Notamacropus eugenii: one gene and its partner. The protein of the gene in region 1 interacts with the protein of each later gene in a biochemical or structural test. Links are inferred from orthologs where the notes say so. Each region holds a gene or a part of one and is shown on either strand. Other genes may lie near its edges.

Region 1 (3,753 bases):
GAAGATATAAGGGTTTCAGACATATGCCAGGACTTCAGTCTAACAACTCCTATGGACAGTACAGATAAAATCCAGCTTACACACCAGACTGTTTCCAGAGGATTCTTGATACCATCAATTACCTTAGACCTAATTCAAACATTAATTGGAGAAGGGAAATGTCGGTCACCTGATAAACACAAACTTACTTAACTGAAAAAGTTAACATGAGAGGTCATCAGACTACAACAAAATCAAAAATCTATCTATAAGTACCAGAGGACATGGACTATGTTTTAATTATCTTTATGTTTAGGTCTATCACAGTACTTCATAGAAAATAATCATTTAATAAATGTGTTGCTGAAATGAAATATTGGAATATGCCATAGGGGAAATTTTTATTTTAGTCTAATAGTAACCTAGTGTTGAAAAATATAAAAAAGTCTTTATCATATCTTTGTTTTAATTTTATTTTGCTTACATCTCAACTCAAACTGAAAAAAAATAAATGGTAACGGGGAAAAGAGAATGTGTTTTTCTTGCCATGTAAAGTACTACACAAAATTACCTAGTTGTCTTTGGACTTGATCATAAAATACAAATGAAATATAACTTGCAGTGTTAGCACTGCACAAAAGCACTCTCTAGATACTGCAAAGCAAACTCAGTCAATGGATGGAAACAAAGAAGAGTAGCAATAAGAGATATTACTGAGTCCAATCTATATGTATGACAAAGTGGATTTGGAGTCAGAGGGCTTGGGTCTGGAACCTTCCCTCTAATATTAATGTCTGAGTGACCTAGATCAAATTAGTTATCCTTTGTGACTCCGTTTCCTAACTTGTAACATGAATTAGATTTGATAACTCCTGAGATTACTTCCAGTTCTACATCTAAGATCTTTTGAACAGTACTAAGGAAAAATTTTATATCCCAAGTGAGGATCTTAACAATATAGCTAATATCTTAATTCGGTTTCACATTTTTAAGCACTTAGAGGAAGCTAAGTAGTTAGACTAGGTCTGAAATCAGGAAAACCAGAGTTCAAATATGACCCCAAGCACTTACTAACAGTGTGACTTAAAACAAGTTATTTAATCTCTATTTGCTTTAATCCACTGGAGAAGGAAATGGCAAACAACTTCAGTATCTTTGCCAAAAACAAAACAAAACAAAACAAAAAAGAAAACAACCATGTATGGTCCACAGGATCGCAAAGAGTCAGGAGTCAGACAGGACTGAACAGCAACATAGGACTTACCAAGTAAAAGACACTGTACTGTTGCGGGAAATGCAAAGATAAAAAGGAGTTTTTTGTTGTGTGACAATATGTAACACAACTGATTAACTTGGCTAAATATTTTAGTGGCCATATGAGCTACAGTACTACACTTTGAACCATGATAAATGGTTAAATATTTGTATTCATACATTTATTTCTCACCTGAGATCATCTTCATTCCCCTAATACCTACCGGCTTCTCCACCTTATTAGCTCCCTCCTCCAACAATTCCACTACAATTGTCATCTGTCAATGTATTTTATGCTATTATTTAAAGGCTAGTTCAATGAGTCACTATCCTTTTGCACTAAAAAAAATGTTCAAAAAACATTTAACACCCTCACCATTTTAAAAATCACAGCAAGCACAAAAACAGTGTATTCTTAATAATAAGACCAAGTATATAAGGGGTTCATTAGGACAGTTTCTCCCAAGATCTTTGAGTTTAAAATATTTCTTTCCAAAAAGGAAAGGGAAAAGATAAAATCAAGCGTATTTTACCTGCTGCACACCTGCGACTCTCATGTAGGAATCCAAAACAAGCAGCAAAGGCATATGGACATTTTTGCCTTTAAATAACTTGGAAGCTGGGGAAGAAAACAAACGAAAACTATTATTCGCTGCAGCTTTTTAAAAGCAGAAGAATGAAAGAAAATAAGAGAAAGCAAGTCCTTTCGTTTTCAATTCTTTTCCTAAAAGCGATCTGTGCTCCCCGAAAAGGCTGAGCCAATGCAGAAAACTGTCTGCAAGAAGATTCCTTGGAAGGGCCCGTGCTTTTACGGACGTGGTTATATTCCTTCTATTGCCATATTTGCCCCAAGTTTAAAAAAAAAAAGGAAACAACTACAGGATTACCGTGATCAGAGTACGTTAACATCAGCATATCCTCTAGTATCTGGATCAGGGTTTCTATCTGTTTTCCTTCCTGCACATTTTGCAGCCTAACTATCAATTTCTTCAGAGTTTCCTCTTCTTTTTCTTCATCCCCGAGGCTGCAGCCACTGGCCATGACGGACCCGACTCCTTCCCGAGGTGCCCCCTGCCCCTAACTCTGAGCCGGAGTGCTCCAAGACTGAACTGGGGAAGGCTGACCCAGCGGATTCCAGAAAGTCCCCAATGCAGGCATGCTCTGTGGCTTTGGCCTGTTTGGGAAAACAGCCCCTACCCCGCCCTTCCTTCTACGTCTTCCTAGCGCCCCACCCCAGGGCCGGAAAATGAATTCGATGCAAACTTTGAGGGGAGGAGATAAGAGGAAGCCGCTAGAAGCCGCTAATCCTGGCATCTTCTAATCCAGTCTGTCATAAATCCAAAATTACTGCAACTAGAGCACCAGTCGGGCCTGGATTCTGGTCCCCAGGAGTACTGACCTGCCCAGAGACCAAGGCAGATGGACTCCAGTAGGCTGGATTTAAAAGATTAAGGATTACTTAGCCCTAACCAGCAGAGCAGAGGAATTCTGGTTAGAATGCAAGAGATTGCTACAGGGGAGTGACAGCTCAGAGAGGGAGTGGGAGAGACAGACTGGAGAGGGAGTGGGAGAGAAAGCCTCCAAGAGCTCAGGGAACCTAGGAAAGAAAGGCATGGTAATTTAGTTCCTTCCTTACAAATAGAAAGCCAAGATTTTGTTAGAAAAGGCATTGTCCCTTGGAAGGGACAAACACTTTGGGATTTAAATCCTGACATTAACTGAACATGAGTGTCCTCAATTTTGTAACTATTTAAGAACGTAGCCAACCTTTGGCATGAAGAATTCACAACAGTGAGAGAATGCAAATAAAGGCATGGCTCTGGAATTTGGGGATGGCAATCACTGTCCAAAAGAAACTGCCTGAGCTCGGGATTTTTTGTTTTGCTTTTTAATTTGGATGAGACCAACTTCAATTTTATCACATGGATTTTGTTGTGATTCTTGGGTTTGAGCCATTGGAGGAGGCATTTGAAAAGATGTTAAATTCTCCCCAGAAGCCCAGAGATATTTCCTGAAATGTTAGAGATGTTGACAAATATATTGGAGATATAGACAAATGTGACAATTGCATCCCATCTAATTTCTCTGAAGACAGGTAAATGATGCTGCATTAACATAAAAAAAACTTCTCTCTCTCCCTCCCTCTCCATTCCTCCTTCTATCCACTGTCCTGTCTAGATGCCCATACACGCATATATATACATATATAGAGTCTACGTATATATGTATATATTCACGCATATATAGACTTTCTATGTATTTATAGATATACATATATATGTAAAATCTGCAGAATTGTCAGACACATGTCCATTACCTACTGATAGTGTCTCTTGGATAAATAAATTGCAGTTATTTGTCTCTATTATGTGCTGGTTTATTTTGGCAGTAGCTAATAAGGACTCTCAAAATCTTCTCAAGACAGTCCCAGAGGAATTTCTAGCTTTCTCACTTTTTGTGTTATTCTGTCTTTTCCCCATTCTATTATACTTCCACTGTATGAACTCCATACTGTCATAT
Region 2 (3,753 bases), on another chromosome or scaffold:
AATCAAATTGTTTAATAAAACACGGGTGTTTTCTCCGTCCTCAGCTTCTGGCTTGGCCCACTGTGGGTGAGTAAGGGGTTTAACCTTGGGAAGCGCAGACGGAAATGAGCCCCCACCCTCCGCTTTGCAGTAAAGCCATTTCACCGTTCGGTGGTTACGGGGTTCTGCCAGTGCACTGGGTGTCGGGCAAGCCCGGAATTACGGCTGGAATTAAGAAAATGCAGATCTTTACGCAGATTGAGACAAACGTGTTTCCAGTAAAAAACAGAGACCAGAAAATGGGACATTTTCCCCTGGGGAATACTAATTTAATAGCTAGGGGGTTTTTGTTTGTTTTTAGTTCTGCCCGGCAGGCACTTACCTTCAGGGCCCAGTCACGTTTTGGGGTTGGGATTTGTGGAATGGATGAGAGTGAGTGACGGGGATAGCTTCCCCTCCTCCCCTCACCCCCCAGAAAGGCACTGCCTGTGGCAAATGGAATCTTAATATGTAATGGTTTGTGGTGGCCAAATTAGTAAGGTTGTCTGCCTACCTGTAAAAATCCTACACTCCTCCTCCTGCCCTAATCGCATTCTCTTTGTTAGGAATAGATAGTATCAGGCTCAGGTTTTACTTGCCCTGTGTGGGTGGATGGGATTTGGCCAGATTTTGTGAATCTGGAAAGGCTGAGAAAAAGCCGAAAGGTCACGCATGTAAATCTATGGAACGATGAAAAACCATTTACATAGACATGAATACATGGCAACCTGGGAGCTTGGAAGTTAGATTTTTACTTTCAGTCTGTCCGAATTTTGGCCTTGTGCTATATGCTACAGACTCCTCCCTGTATGTGTACCTCACTGTTGGCTGGAAGATTTCTTCCAGGTCTTCTCATTTTTCTTGAATTCCTGCTGAGGGTAGCACAGGAAAAGCTGAGAATAAAACCATATGAATTTTTATTGGGCTGTTTTAATCTAGGGCATGAAGTCTGACCTCCAAACTCAAAAGGCCAATTCACTACCACTGGATTCCAATTGTCAGCTCACCTGGTGAGATTAGACACTATTAACCCATTTAAAAAAAAAAAAAAGAATTCATAAGAAGTGTGATTTGACCTAGACCACACATTAAGCCTTAATGGTCCTTAGTCACAATTAGGTATTCATATGGGCAAATGTAATTCTTCGAGTTATGGTTAAAATTGGGCCATCATACAGTAGTTATGGATACTGATACCATTTTAGAACTAGAACATTGTAGATCAGGTGGAACAACAGAGCTGACTGGGTAAATTCCTGAGTAGACAGGCTAATAGAGATCCAGAGCTCAGGTCACTTGCAGCAAAAAATGGAGGTTGCATATCAGATGCCTTCAGCTGTGATCCAGCCCAGTTGTAAACATGTTGCTTTCATAGTAGTACAATCAGGAAATTCAGGTACTTTTTGTGTATTAATACAGATGTTTCTTCTGCTTGTAATACCTTTCTCTCTTGAAACAGGGACTGACCGTTGAGTCTGGAAGACCTGGGTTCAAGTCCAGCCTCTGATATTAGTCGTGTGATCCGGAGCAAGTTACTTAAAATTTTTGTTGCCCCACATGGTTCTCTAAGGCCAAAAGTTGTTGAATAATTGCTGATCATTAGCATTGGTTGAGAGTTTCTTCCCTAGGAGTTCCCTACACAGTGAAATCACAAGTCTAGACTAAAAAATCTCAAGTTTGAACTAAACCCTTATTATTATAGACATTAACTAATTGGAGGGAAATCATTTTTGGATCTTCAATTTAGTGAACAAGTCATATGGTCAAATAAAGTAATTAGACATAAGAATAGCATTTTTTTCCTGCTTGTAGGATTTTTTTAAAAAAACTGCTGTTCTGTAAAAGGACAGAATATTTGGAATATCACTTTACTTTTTGGCATACATCATGTCATAAGTGGTACTGAAAATAACATCTTCATGATCAATCATTTCCTGGGATCAGGAAATTATACTTGTCCAGTCACTCACTTTTCATTAAATAAGAAAAGAAACCATCTGAATAAGCAATATAGCTCAACACGTTGTATAGCCCTTCACAATGAACAGCAAATGCTTTCGATCCTTAGTGTGTTCTTCTTGTGCTGTGTTAAAATACAGAATTGTGTTTAAGCAAGAAATTGATTATGAAGACAAAATCTGTGGGGTACATATGGACTGTCTTTCAAAGGGATTTGTGAAGGGTTCTGGTGTGTACTAGTAGTGGGGTTTGGGGCAGCATCTACTAATAGTCAGTTTTCCAACACTGTAATTTTCTTTTTTTGCACCATATTATACATAGTAAAGCAGCAAGAAATTTGTTGGTTATTTTTAGGCTTATCAGAATCTAATAGTTTATTTTCGCAGCCCCAGAAATCCTAGGTTCTTTTCAATTGGATTTTGAAGGTATGGACTCTTAGCATCAGTTTTTCTGTACTAGCTTAATATTTTTTCTCAGGTTAAATTTCTTACAAATGTTTCTATTGGAGTAGATACCCTAATAAGCGTTGTCATCTAGTGGAAAGTACATTGGATTAAGAGCACTGAGTTATAAGATGTACTCAGCTTTGTAACAAACTCACTTAGACTAAATGATTAACTTGTTTACCTAAGGAAGGATATAGTTTCTTATCCCCCTACCTTCCTCAGAGAAACAGTGATCCTTGTAACATGCCATAAAATCACAGAATATCAGAGTTGGAAGACATCTTAAAGATCATCAGGTCATGTCCTCTGCTCAAAAAGGAGGATCTGAGTCCCAGTGAGGTAGTGACTTGCATAGTAAAAGAACCAGTATTCCTGACTTCCATTCTAACATCCTTCCCTATACTACAAAGTCTTGAGCAGTATATTATGTTCAGAGAATTAATTGACATTTGAATAACCCTTAAAGCTCTTTTCATCCATTATCATTTAGTCCTAACAACCAGAGATGGAGGTAGTGATGGAGTGGGAACAAGTGCTTACTGATTGTCCACTGTGTTTCATGCACTGTGCTAAGTACCTTATAAATATCTCATTTGATCCTCAAACTACAACCTAATGAAGTAAGTGGTGTTATGACCCCTATTCTATAGTTGAGGAAACTGAGGCAGAAAAAAGTTAAGCAACTTACCCAGGGTCCCAGAGCTAGCAAGTTTCTGAGATTATACTTGAATTCAGTTCTTGCTAACTCTGACTACTAACTCCAGTACTTTCTTTACCTCACCACCTAGTTGCCTAGTTGGTAAGGGATTTATTTATTCTAGATTATTTATTTATTCTAGATTACATAGTTAATAAGTAGAGCCAGAACTTTAACGTGGATCTTCTAAATCCCAAGACACAGTGCTCTTCCTACCATACCAGAGAGACCAGGAAAATCTAGCCATGTTTTTGGCAATCTAATAATTGAACCTAAAATGATTTTTTGGTCTTATATCATCTGTGATATATGTGACGACCTATAATGGGAAATAAATAATCTTTGCCAACTTGATTGTAAATGATTATTCCCTTTATTTGTGACTGAACTTTCTAAGGGAAATACTTAGTACCTTAGTCCACTTTTCCTGCTTGTCCCCTTAGTGACTTTTTATGTTAAAAACCAATAATCTCACAGCTTTTTCTCCTAAAATGTCTTTTAATGTAGACACATATATCTAGTTCTAATACTTGGAAAGAGATGAAAAGGATCAATGACCTATTTAGCATCCAGAGAACAAGTCATTCCAAGCAGACTGCAGGTCAGTGAAGATGGCTTAGTTTTTTTTTTTTA

Evidence for each region. The genes of interacting proteins can lie anywhere in the genome.
Region 2: the proteins of LRRK2 (region 1) and YWHAB interact on a protein array, tested with the Homo sapiens proteins (2 studies listed by BioGRID and IntAct, with this or other methods). The link is inferred for Notamacropus eugenii from reciprocal best matches to the Homo sapiens genes LRRK2 and YWHAB.

The regions. Positions count from the first base shown.
Region 1 is NC_092874.1:212,969,401-212,973,153, reverse strand, and holds the start of LRRK2 (leucine-rich repeat serine/threonine-protein kinase 2), read right to left. Parts: upstream 2,435-3,753; 5' UTR 2,275-2,434; coding exon 2,121-2,274; intron 1,853-2,120; coding exon 1,767-1,852; intron 1,761-1,766; exon of another isoform or gene 1-1,760. UniProt on the Homo sapiens protein: Serine/threonine-protein kinase which phosphorylates a broad range of proteins involved in multiple processes such as neuronal plasticity, innate immunity, autophagy, and vesicle trafficking.
Region 2 is NC_092872.1:521,249,393-521,253,145, forward strand, and holds the start of YWHAB (14-3-3 protein beta/alpha), read left to right. Parts: upstream 1-1,477; 5' UTR 1,478-2,402; intron 2,403-3,627; 5' UTR 3,628-3,673; coding exon 3,674-3,721; intron 3,722-3,753. UniProt on the Homo sapiens protein: Adapter protein implicated in the regulation of a large spectrum of both general and specialized signaling pathways. Binds to a large number of partners, usually by recognition of a phosphoserine or phosphothreonine motif.